3 linked regions of the Sus scrofa genome follow. The protein of the gene in region 1 binds, or shares a complex with, the protein of each later gene. Links are inferred from orthologs where the notes say so. Each region holds a gene or a part of one and is shown on either strand. Other genes may lie near its edges.

What was found. The genes of interacting proteins can lie anywhere in the genome.
Region 2: SNRPG (region 1) and PRPF3 share a complex: the UniProt entries of both Homo sapiens proteins name them as parts of the U4/U6-U5 tri-snRNP complex. The link is inferred for Sus scrofa from reciprocal best matches to the Homo sapiens genes SNRPG and PRPF3.
Region 3: SNRPG (region 1) and SCNM1 share a complex: the UniProt entries of both Homo sapiens proteins name them as parts of the minor spliceosome. The link is inferred for Sus scrofa from reciprocal best matches to the Homo sapiens genes SNRPG and SCNM1.

The regions. Positions count from the first base shown.
Region 1 is NC_010445.4:72,197,570-72,201,526, reverse strand, and holds the start of SNRPG (small nuclear ribonucleoprotein G), read right to left. Parts: upstream 2,806-3,957; 5' UTR 2,684-2,805; coding exon 2,652-2,683; intron 1-2,651. UniProt on the Homo sapiens protein: Plays a role in pre-mRNA splicing as a core component of the spliceosomal U1, U2, U4 and U5 small nuclear ribonucleoproteins (snRNPs), the building blocks of the spliceosome.
Region 2 is NC_010446.5:98,768,918-98,773,148, forward strand, and holds the start of PRPF3 (U4/U6 small nuclear ribonucleoprotein Prp3), read right to left. Parts: upstream 2,808-4,231; 5' UTR 2,688-2,807; intron 1-2,687. UniProt on the Homo sapiens protein: Plays a role in pre-mRNA splicing as component of the U4/U6-U5 tri-snRNP complex that is involved in spliceosome assembly, and as component of the precatalytic spliceosome (spliceosome B complex).
Region 3 is NC_010446.5:98,079,568-98,083,532, forward strand, and holds SCNM1 (sodium channel modifier 1), read right to left. Parts: upstream 2,808-3,965; 5' UTR 2,689-2,807; coding exon 2,638-2,688; intron 2,371-2,637; coding exon 2,300-2,370; intron 2,060-2,299; coding exon 1,971-2,059; intron 1,874-1,970; coding exon 1,776-1,873; intron 1,668-1,775; coding exon 1,579-1,667; intron 915-1,578; coding exon 720-914; intron 472-719; coding exon 372-471; 3' UTR 277-371; downstream 1-276. Other genes in the region: LYSMD1 (lysM and putative peptidoglycan-binding domain-containing protein 1), read left to right, coding at 3,580-3,759. UniProt on the Homo sapiens protein: As a component of the minor spliceosome, involved in the splicing of U12-type introns in pre-mRNAs. Plays a role in the regulation of primary cilia length and Hedgehog signaling.

The DNA.
Region 1 (3,957 bases):
TCATGGATGCTAGTCAGGGTCTAAACCCACTGAGCCACTATAGGAACTCCCCGACCCAATATTCAATGACAGAATCTTACGACCAAAACAGAAAAACAAAGATTTTGTTATATTTTGGTTATTTTAAAAACCAAACAAAGTTGTGAAGAAATCAGAAGGTAATCAAACCATATCCAATCCAATGGATATTTTATTTTATATTTGAGACAATACATAGTGTTTTATTTAATATTAAGCAACAATCTTAAATGTTCAGGATATTCTCCAACACCCAAGTATACTTTAGCAAAATAAATGCATATTGAAATTTTAAATAATTTGAATTAAGCAACAAAATTCCATATCAGCAGGGTAGTATGAGAATATGAAGCCAAGGGCGTTCCCGTCATGGCTCAGCAGAAGTGAATCTAACGAGTATCCATGAGGATGCAGGTTGGACCCTGACCTCACTCAGTGGTTAAGGATCTGGCATTGCCATGAGTTGTGGTGTAGCTCACAGACACAGCTCCGATCTGGTGTGGCTGTGGTTTAGGCCAGGGGCTACAGCTACAGCTCCCATTCGACCCCCCACCTGTGAACCTCCATATGCCGTGCGTGCAGCCCTAAAGACAAAAAGAATATGAAGCCAACAAGTCAAACCAGTTTTTACCTCTTTGCTGTAGGCTAGAAAATATGAAACTTCATTCAATTTTAATGTATATCATGGAGAATTCAAAGATAAATAAGACATGAGGCCTGAAGAAGGTGTAAGAAGACAGGTTTTTACAAATAAAAATATATAGTATGACATGTAAAACAATCAATTTTACTAGGATGTTATAAAAAAACACAAATATAACACATATGAACTTATTTTATTTAATCCTTATGAAAGCTTTTTAAGTTATGCATTGTTATTACCACCAATTAACAGATGGGGAACCAAGGCCCAGAAAGGTTAAGTAAAATTTCCAAAGTCACTCAGCAGTGAAAAAGTTTGAGCAAAATCAAATGGTTCAGTTTGGCCCAAGAACATGGTACTCAAATATTAGCGTGTGTAATATTTGGTGCTTGGATTTCAAATGGAGGAGCGTTACTGCTGGTTCAAGAAGTCTGGACTTTATTATGCAGATGGCAATAAGTTACTGCAGCAGTATCAGGCATGGCTAAGATTACTGAAGCATGTGTAAATCAATCCATTACGCTGTACATCTTGAACTTACGTAGTGCTGTAGGTCAATTTTATCTCAAAAAAACTGGGGGAAAAAAAAGACTACTTTGGCAATGATTTTTAAGAGGGGTAGGAAGAATATGATTGGGCCAGGGTATCTCAACCTTGGCATACTGACATCTGGGACCAGATAATTCTGTTGTTGAGTGATGTCCAGTGCACTGTAGAATATTTAGCAGGAACCCTGGCCTCTACCTACTAAATGCTGGTAGAACCAGACTCTCTACACCACAGTTAAGAACCACAGAATTATATTAAAAGCAGACGGAAGATATAAAAATGCAAAAAAAAAAAAAGATTTCGGGCCTCGTGGGTGGCATGCGGAAGTTCCTGGGCTAGGGACTGAACTTGAACCACAGCAGTGCCATGTTGGATCCTTAACCGGCTGAGCCACGAGGGAACTCCAAAAAAAGATGGTAAGGAAGAAAAAGTTAAAAGTCATTTTGGAGGTAGACCTGGCAGGATCTCACAATTATTGAAATCTACATATAAGAAAAGAAAGGTAATTAAAAACTCTCATTAATATCTTAAGAATCAAAAAGGAAATCTTACCAAGAACACCCCCCCAACAAAAGAGCCTTCTCTAATTAGAGAAAAATGAATGTTCTCACGCATTCCAGTTAACAGAGCAAAATATCACACATTCAAGTTCAACCTAAGTGCAAGAAATTAAGAAAAAAGAACGGGATTTCTTTTTTTTTTTTTGTCTTTTTGCTATTTCTTTGGGCCGCTCCCGCGGCATATGGAGGTTCCCAGGCTAGGGGCTGAATCGGAGCTGTAGCCACTGGCCTACACCAGAGCCACAGAAACGCGGGATCCGAGCCGAGTCTGCAACCTACACCACAGCTCACGGCAACGCCGGATCCTTAACCCACTGAGCAAGGGCAGGGACCGAACCCGCCACCTCATGGTTTCTAATCGGATTCGTTAACCACTGCGCCACGACGGGAACTCCCAAGAACGGGATTTCTAAGTTAAAGCTCAAAGGAACCACCAACACACTAAGATGAAGGCAGCTTTTGAATTTCTCATATACCATCAAAACAATTCCATTCCATCCACCTCCTTAGTTCCTTACAGAATTACTGTCCAACCACCTTATCTCGAACGTGATGCTACTCAAGGCGTTCAGCTAACTGTGGTATTCAAGATCTTTAAGTAACGAAGGATCGAGTGCCAGAGACCCGGCCAGGAACTCCGGCCTGGGAGGCAAACCTGCAGACGGAGGGGCCTTTACGTCTTTGAAAAGCATGCCCACCAGGCCGAAATACAACATTTGCGCGGGATGCAGGCCCGGAAACGTGGGACGGTGGCCCGGATCGCGGCGGCAGCCAGTGGCAATAAGCACGGCAGACACACTCTCCGGAAATGGCTGGGGATCCAAGGAACTCAAGGCCTACAAAGAAGCCGCCATTTATGCGCGGCCCTCATGCATACTTACTTCTTCAACTCCGGCGGGTGAGCTTTGCTCATGATGCCTACTCCGCGAACTCAAAGAAACCTCCAAACGGAATTCGTGTTCTCCCTCACGCTCCAGCGGTAGGCCCGGTGCTTTGCGTCTGACGTCACTGATCCCGTTAGCCAATTGATTGTTGGCCGCTTTCACGTTTCACGTCGCGATACTTAGGAAAATCCTGAGCTCGCAGATCAGTCCCAAGCTTCCGTTGTGTCGCCAGGGATTGGCTAGAGCGGAGGGGTGGGGCCTCCAGTCTTTATATTCCTCTTTGTAATTGGGTTGCTGTTCCTGCCTCTAGCATTTGAAGGACGCTGGTTAACTCATTGTCTTTGTGGGTTGCAAAGTTGTCTTGACGCTACCAGATGAAAATAAGCTCTGGAGGGGTAGGCTCCTAAAAATTTCTTTGGCATGTGTGTGCATACTTCCATGTGTTGTTCTTCCCTTTGTTGTCCTCTGCAAACACTGCGGTTTTTTTTTTTTTGGTCTTTTTAGGACCGAACCCTCCGCATATGGAAGTTCCCAGGCTGTGGGTCAAATCTGCGCTGCAGCTGCTGGCTTTTGCCATAGACAAAGCAACGCTGGATTCTTAACCTACTGAGCGAGGCCAGGAATCAAACTAGTATCCTCATGGATACTAGTCCGGTTCTTAACTCCCTGAGCCACATCGGGAACTCGTTTTTTTTTTTTTTTTAATTTAGCAAATTGAAGGTTTGAGGCAGCCCAGAGTCCAGCAAATCTCCCAGCGCCATTTTCCCAAGAGCATTTGTTCACTTTGTGTCTGTGTCATTTTGATAATTCTTACAGTATTTCAAATTTTTTCATTACTGTATTCGTTATGGTGATCTATGATAGGTAATCACACTAAGAAAAAAAAAATCTTGTGACTTGCTTTGAGGTATTTGCTTCACTGTTGAACCTGTGGTATTTTAGTATTCCCACAGGATGTCATGCTACAACTAAGGTTCTAGTAACAGCTCAGTTAACGACCTCTGCACCAAAGGAATAGAGTGAGGGGGCCTCAGTTTCCAAAAATTTTAATCTAGAGGAGTTCCCGTCGTGGCGCAGTGGTTAACGAATCCGACTAGGAACCGTGAGGTTGCGGGTTCGGTCCCTGCCCCTGCTCAGTGGGTTAACGATCCGGCGTTGCCGTGAGCTGTGGTGTAGGTTGCAGACATGGCTCGGATCCCGCGTTGCTGTGGCTCTGGCGTAGGCCGGTGGCAACAGCTCCGATTCGACCCCTAGCCTGGGAACCTCCATATGCCGCGGGAGCGGCCCAAAGAAATAGCAAAAA
Region 2 (4,231 bases), on another chromosome or scaffold:
TAGTCTAAGAAATGAGTTCCAGCTTCTTTTTTGATTCTGTCATATTCAAGGATTGCAAATATTTATATAAAGTCCACTTAGAGGTCAGCTTTTCTATTCTTATTTCCAGGCAGGTATTCCTCAACCCAGCCGTTCTTCTTTTTTTTTTTTTTTTTGGCAGCACCCATGGCATATGGAAGTTCCCGGGCCAGGGAACGAAGCCGAGCCAAAGCTGTGGCATGGCCAGATCCTTAACCCATTGCACCACATTGTGAACTCCAACCCAGGCCTTCTTTAAGGCATGCAAATAAGGGAGGCTTTATCCACATCAGTCATCCTATACTAAAGCTCATAATCCTTAAGGCTGTTTTTGTCAATTTTTTTTTTTTTTTTTTTTTTTTTGTCTTTTTAGGGCTACATCTTCAGAAGTTCTCAGGCTAGGGGTCCAAACGAGCTGTGGCTGCTGGCCACAGCCACAGCCACAGAGGATCTGAGCCTTGTCCATGAGCTATATCACAGCTCACAGCAAAGCCGGATCCTTTAACCCACTGAGGGGACCAAGGATCAAACCCGAATCCTCATGGTGACTAGTCAGGTTTGTTACCACTGAACCACAATAGGAACTCGCTCTCACAATTCTCTGTAGTCACATTCATCCTAGTGGGAATTCTGTACTCAGATATTTTTCTCTTATGTTCTACAGGGCCTCTGTCATAAATATTCTCTCAGTTCAGAAAAGATTACTTTCATTTTGGATGTACTCTCTTTCCACTTCTATTTTTCTCCTGTTTAGCTTAACAGAGAAAACACCATCATAAAAGACTCTCTAGAACAATCTTTAAATGCAAATTAATACGATTCTTCTTCTTCCTTTTTTTTTTTTTTTTTTGCTACTGTACGTTCTGGGGCCAGGGATGGAACGTGGACGACACAGAAGCATCTCAAGCTGCTGCAGTGACAACACTGGATTCTTAACCCACTGAGCTACAAAAGAACGCTTCAAGATGTTTTAAGATGGAGTTCCTGTCATAGGATAGTGGTTAACGAATCCGACTAGGAACCATGAGGTTGTGGGTTCGATCCCTGGCCATGCTCAGTGGGTTGAGGATCCGACGTTGCTGTGGCTCTGGCGTAGGCCGGCGGGTACAGCTCCGATTAGACCCCTAGCCTGGGAACCTCCATATGCAGCCCAAGAAATGGCAGAAAGAAGAAAAAAAAATTACACTGTACCTTTTAGGAGAAAAGATATCCAGAAAGAAGAAAAAAAAATTACACTGTACCTTTTAGGAGAAAAGATATCTTAAAACTTTTTTTGCCCCCCTTGGGCCGCTCCCACGGCATATGGAGGTTCCCAGGCTAGGGATCTAATCGGAGCTGTACCCGCCGGCCTACGCTAGAGCCACAGCAACGTGGGATCCGAGCCGAGTCTGCGACCTACACCACAGCTCACGGCAACGCCGGATCCTCAACCCACTGAGCAAGGCCAGGGATCGAACCCACAACCTCATGGTTCCTAGTCGGATTCGTTAACCACTGAGCCACGACAAGAACTCCGGTACAGTCTAATTAACTTCTGCATTCTTGGTAGGTTTATCCTCTATAAGACCTGTTGCTAAACAGTGTATTTAATTTTGGTATAACCATATGAAGCTAGTGAAGTCATGAAACTAGGAGTAAAAGATTTTGTGTCTTACTGACATGTTATATAATAAATCTATGATGGCTCTATTTACCCATCATGAGACAGCACTATAGCTTATCAATTTCAACATGCTAACTGTTCAATGCTCAAAAGAAGGGTATTCAGACAACATAGGGAGTGAAGAAAGAGCTCTTCCATTTACTAACCTTCTGTCAAGCAATTCCTCTGAGCCTCAGTTCATTCATCTTACAAAAGGAGGACAACTGCCATAGCTATCTGGCACTTAATTCATTCAGTAAGTATTTACTGCACAACAACTAAGTGTTAATGTAGTGGGATACTGCCAAGGATACATACAACAGTGAACAAAAGAGACAAGAATCCTCACCTTAGAGGGCTTATATTCCACTAGAACTGAATCATAGATTAGAAAGTTTAAGCCGTTTGAAAATCCAAAGCAATAAACGGGGTACCACTCTATAAACGAACCGTATGCCCAAGCACTATACTTATGTACTCAATTTCAACCCATTCCCTCCATAATATAACGTGCAGACTAAACAGTCAGTGGGCAAAAATCAAACTTCCAAATAGTAACTAGCTTTGTCATTAATCAGACGTTCAACAATAACTGCGTGGGGCGGGGTGGGGGTGGTTACGGTGTGGAGGGAGAGAGAGGAAGGCAGAATGATCTCAATGAGCAGGTAGCAGAATCTAATCTTCTGAAGGAATTCCTTACTTCGTGCTCTTCTTTGCTACAAGTCGAATTTCCTCCCTTAAACCCTATCCTTTGCTTTTTGCTCTCTCCATCTCTCTGACCGGACCCTTTCCCCACCTTGTTCTACCCAAACTCATCTCAGAGGTAGTCTCCTCACCCTGTCCCTTTCCCGCCCCCGCCCTTTTCCTCTCAACAATCTCATTCCAACCCGTTCTCGCACAGAACCTGGTTCTTTCCTCAGCCTCCTTTCTGTTGAACCTCCCGCCTCGGTCCTCCCTTTGGACTGAAACTTAGCCCCAGCCGCTAGGACCCGAGCATACCCTCTCTGGGCCCGGGGCCACTACTCACCTCACAAACTTCAGCCCCTGAGACGGAGCCCGAACGTTACACCGGAACCGGAAACCCTCCGACCGCCCTACGGCCTGCCGTCGCTACCGCCACGGCTGCTGCCTCGCCACGGTCCCACAACTTGTGACGAAAGAGGGCGGGGCCCCGGTTCGCGCAGCCGTAGTAGCTACTTTTCCGCGGCGGAGCGCATGCGTGGCGGAGCCGTAACGATTTCCCCCGGCAAGCTACTTGGCTCCTTCGGTTCCCCGTGCTAAACCTGTTAACTACATTAGCGCAAAATTAATGTTACCTGAAGCATAAATTGAGCTGCTTGTAGTATTCCCGTGGAGAATAAGTGCGCTAAGGCTATGGCTAGAACTAAAAGCAGAGCTTCTGCGTTTGGGCTAAACCTGGACTTTCTGGTAGGAAGTAAACTTCAGAGTAGTGATCGTTAGTATTAACCACTCTCTCCTTAGCCTTTGTCCTTAACAGTGGTGCCAAGAGACCCAGAAAACCGACTAGTGTGGGAGGAGTCTGAAGATAGTACCCTCTCACACACCTTTGTTTCTTTCTTCCATTCATTCGCAAAACAAATAATTGCTGGCAGTCTAGTACTTTTTAGGCCCCACCTGCAGCATATATAAATTCGGGTTAGGGGTTGAATCAGAGCTGCAGCTTCTGGCCTATGCCACAGCCACGCAGAATCAGAGCTAGGACTGTGACCTACACCACAGCTCAGGGCAACACTGGCTCCTTAATCCACTGGGCAAGGCCAGGGATGGAACCTGTGTTCTCATGGATACTAGTGGGGTTCTTTACTCGCTGAGCCAGGACAGGAATTCCTAATCAACCATTTTGGTCCTCAACTAATCCTTACCTAACAAGCACCTTTACTTCTTGCCAGCTCCAATTATAATTCTTTTCTTTTTTTTTCTTCCTTTTTACGGCCTAACTTGCAGAATACAGAAGTTGCTGGTCTAGAGGTTGAATCGGAGCTGCACCTGCTGGTCTGTGCCACAGCCACAGCCACACTGGATCTGAGCCGCACCTGTGTTCTACACTGCAGCTTGCTGCAACACTGGATCCTTAACCCACTGAGCAAGGCCAGTTTGATGTGGGATCAAACCCACATCCTCGTGGATACTAGTTCTTAACCCCAATTATAATTCCTCCAATTATAATTTTTAATAAACAACTTATTTAACTACCTGTAAGCTTGTAAGCCTCCCCAATTTTGTAGTCCAGCAGAACACGATTCAAGTGCTTCTTAAACCTGTGTCTCCCTCAGTAAAGAACTTATATAAAGCTAAACTCATGAAGTTCCCACTGTGGCCCAACAGGATCACAGCATCTCTGCAGTGTTGGGATGCAAGTTTGATCCCTGGCCTGGCACAGTGGGTTAAGGACCTGGTGTTAGGCTGCAGTTGGCCCAGGAACTCCATGGCTTTCCATATTACTTAGTGAAAAATGCCCTACACTCCATTACTTCTGTGATCTCACTTGTTTTTTGTTGTTGTTGTTGTACCCGAGGCATGTAGAAGTTCCTGGGTCAGGGATTGAACTCA
Region 3 (3,965 bases), on another chromosome or scaffold:
GTTTCCAGACCTGTCCAGCTCCCACCCCCACCCCACCCAGTGCCTACCCAAAAACTTCATGTCATTTGAAGGAGGAAAAGACTCTGAGTGGAGGTGGGGAAGAAGTCAGACAACATGAAGGGCAAAGACCTCCTTCTGACAGACTTATTTTAGGGCACCGGGCTGCATGCAGCTGACGCTTGGCATGACTTTGGTAGAAGTGGGGGGAGGGGCTAGAAGTATGGGGAGCTGTGTACATTGCAGGGAAATATTGGCCAGGCTGAGAACGAACAGACCTGAAATCCTGAAATGAGACAAGGAACCAGACTCAAGGAAAGTCAGGCTCCCAGCGCCCACTATAGTTTATTTGTGAACTGAATGGGGAAAGAGTGTCAGTCCAAGGGGAGATCAGGGGGTTCCTCTTCATCAGAATCAAACTCAACATTCTCATCTTTTATCCATCGACCTTGTCCATCTGGGATCCATCCAGAACTGGAAATATCAGAACAAACAGAATCGATCAGGAAAGGAAATGTGTTAAGAATTTAGTAGCGGAGTTCCCTGGTAGCTCGGTAGTTTATAGATCTGCATTGTCACTGCTGTGGCACACTTCTGCATGCTGTGGGCATGGCCTCCCGCCCCCCCCAAAAGCTAGTAGGGATAAGTAATATTTGAGGTTTGAAAAAAGGAGAGCCAGAGAGAAAAGGGACAATCTGAGGAAAGTGATTCCGTACACTCACCTTCGAAGGGTGAGATAATGATCCAGAGCCCGTCTTCTTGTGGGGCTCATAGGTGCAGGGGATGAGACAGTGGCTGATTCCTTGGTTTGTGATGCAGCCGCAGGCTCAAGTTCCCTACTGATCCTCTCACTTTGGGATTCAACCTCTGGGGGTGAAAAAGCGGAACGAGAGACAGAGGGACGAGGGGCTTCTGGTCTGGGTAGAGAAGAATCAAAGTCTGTAAAAGCAGTAAAGGAAAGGACCAAATCTCCTGTAACTCCCAACCCCTTAAAGCAGTGCTTCCTAAACTGTATTCCTCAAGATATTAACAGGTGTTCTGCATAAAAAGGATTTTGGAATCAAATGAACTTAAGGAAAGCCTAAGTTAGTTTTTTCAGCTTTTTTTTTTTTAAGACTGTGTAGAACCCTGAAAATATACTGTTACTATTCTTTTTTTTGGTCTTTTTAGCGCTGCACTGTGGCATATGGAGGCTCCCAGGCTAGGGGTGAATGCAAGCTACAGCTGCCAGCCCTTACCACAGCCACAGTAACATGGGATCCGAGCTGTGTCTGCAACCTACACCACAGCTCACAGCAACACTGGATCCTTAACCCACCAAGCAAGGCCAGGGATCAAACCCTCATCTTCATGGATGCTGGTCGGGTTTGTTCACCGCTGAGCCATGATGGGAACTCGTAATATTACTATGCGTCAAACAGGATTACAAAATCCTATTTCCCAAACAAAATTCTTTTTTCCTGAAATTCAAGTTAGCATTTCCAGAACACTAGTATTCCTCAGAATCCAATTTGGAAAACAGTACTTTAGAGCGATCGATCTCCTGTTCCTCCCTACTTCTGGATTACCCACCCCACAGACCTGTTCTTTCGGCGGCAGCAACTGTTATAGTGAGGAGCTCTGTGCAGAGCACTCTGGGTAATAAGTCGAGTCTGGGTTAACAGAGGAGCCTGGCATGGAGATGGGAGACAAAGTCAGAACCTTCAGAGCTAGAAAGAATCCAGAGCCTTCAAGCCTAAGGTGTGCAGCCTGGAACACACCCTCCCCTCTCTGATTACCTCTGCTTTGGTCTCTTCTCTCCTCAATTCATTCTGTTGTCTTGGATTTGGCTCCAGGCCCTTTCCTGGGTGCTTCTTGCCATAGAAAAGCTGCAGGCCTCAGGAGAAAGGGAAAGAGAATTAAAAGGAGGGCACCCAGAGTGAATAAACCCTTTAAGGGTTTATTCTCTATGCTCTGTCTTCCCACAAACTTACTGGACAGATGTTTCTTGCCTGCACGGTGGGCAGTCAACATGGCCAGGGTGTCCAGTACCGGTCGGTGAGGACAGATGGCACAAGCAAAGCTAGAGAGGAGGAGAGAAGATAATTGGTTCCTGGGGAGTGGAGTCTCTGCCATAGGTTCCACCACAGCCTAGAACTCCTTTCCAAAGCCCAAATCCCAAGTCTCCCAGTCTCCACCACCAACATCCCTGTTACTCACTCCCCGCCAAAGATTCCTTGTTCTTTCCAATCTGCTTAATAACAAAAGTTTGTTGAGCCTCTAACCGCAGAACCCCCAGGCTTGATCCACTCCTAGTCCTCACCGTCCATCCCGTAGCATCAACGCCTCATCCTCTGGGATGTAACTCGCCAGCAGGTCCCCGACTCTCCGTTTCTGCAGGGAACAAGGGAAGAAATGAGGACGGGGTCAGCTGGATATGAGGGAGGAACAAAAAGGAAATGACAAGGACGAGGACTCAAAGGGAATAAAGGCCACAAGAAGGGTAGAGATCTGGGCTGAAGAAGGGGTGTCGGCCCAGTTCCAATCGTCTGGCTTCCTCCGCCCCCCTCCCCCGAGTTGTTGCCACAGCAACAAAACAGCTCCCTCACAGCCTTCAGACGGCAACTGAAGCTGCTCCAGATGCTCTCCTCTCGCGCTTACTTTGAGCACATTGAGTTGACTCCAATCGTCCCCTTCCCTCTTGAAAGACATCACGACTGTGAGAGCCCCAGAAATATAAGTTTTATCGCGCCGCGTTCGCCACTCCTTTCAGGCCACCGTAGCAAGAGTGGGACGTCTCCTTTCTTTCCTGTCTCTTTCCGGTTGGCCCCCTTACTTCCGGGATGCGCTTCCACGCATGCGCCGCGCGATCCCGAAAACCCGCCTCTAGCCCATAGAGGGGACTGCATTTCCTATGGTGCTCTGCGACCCCGCCGGCGCGGAGCCTTTTGGGAAATGAAGTCTTTTTTCAAAGAGCTTGCCGCCCTGCCCGATTCAGGCCCTTGCATCTTGGCAGATTAGAGGCGTTTGGAGAAAGAGGAACCTAGCTGTGGATCCCGAGTTTGAGAGTGTGACTGATTTGATGCGGAGCGTACCTTTGAGGATCTCTCAGGGGAAAGTGTGCTACAGATTCTCGCGGTCATCACGCCCTTCGCCTGAGGCCACAGCCCACCTGGAGTGGGCCTGATTAGTTCCCGACCCTAGCGACCAAGCCCGGGACGCGCGGAATCGGGGTTGGGGGCTGGGAGGTCTGGCGGACCGACCTGGGGGCAAACTCTGTAGTGTAGAGGAGGGTGTCTAGTGGTCAAAGGTCAGAGGTCAATGTCGCGAGTTGTGGGGGATCGAAAGTCGGAGGGGTACTAAGGAGAAACTCAGGTAGGGACTGAACAGTCAGGTTACAGGTTTGTGGGAAAAGGCCTTGGAAGGCGGGGAAGCCAGGAGTCAGAGGTCGCCTAGTGGGGGGAAGGCGGAGAGACTTAGGAGAGAACACAGAAAGGGAAAGGAATCCTCCAGATTTTCATTCCCAGACCCCGGGCCTGTCACTATCGGTCACTTGGCCGGGCCTCCCGCAGTTGCAACTCCAGTTGTCCGCAGGGTGAGGAGATGGCCTCTCCCTCTAGACAGGCCCCCCTCGGGGGGTCAGGACTGCTTCAAGGGAGCCGGGCTCGTTCTTATGGAAGCCTTGTGCAGTCTGCCTGCTCCCCGGTGAGGGAAAGACGCCTGGAGCATCAGTTGGCGCCCGGAGACACCCTGGCTGGACTAGCACTCAAATACGGGGTGACGGTGAGTCTTCCAGGATTGGGACGCAGACACTCAGAAAAGATTTATTCCTCATGAGGATATAGTGGCCCTCTGGGCAACTTCACCTGAAATTTTCCTAATTGTGTCTAAATTAGTTAATTGTGATAAATTAATTGACAAGGGTCCCATCTCGTGTTGCACTGTCTGGTTGAGACAAATCCTGTCTCAATATCCCGGTGGAGGTGAGC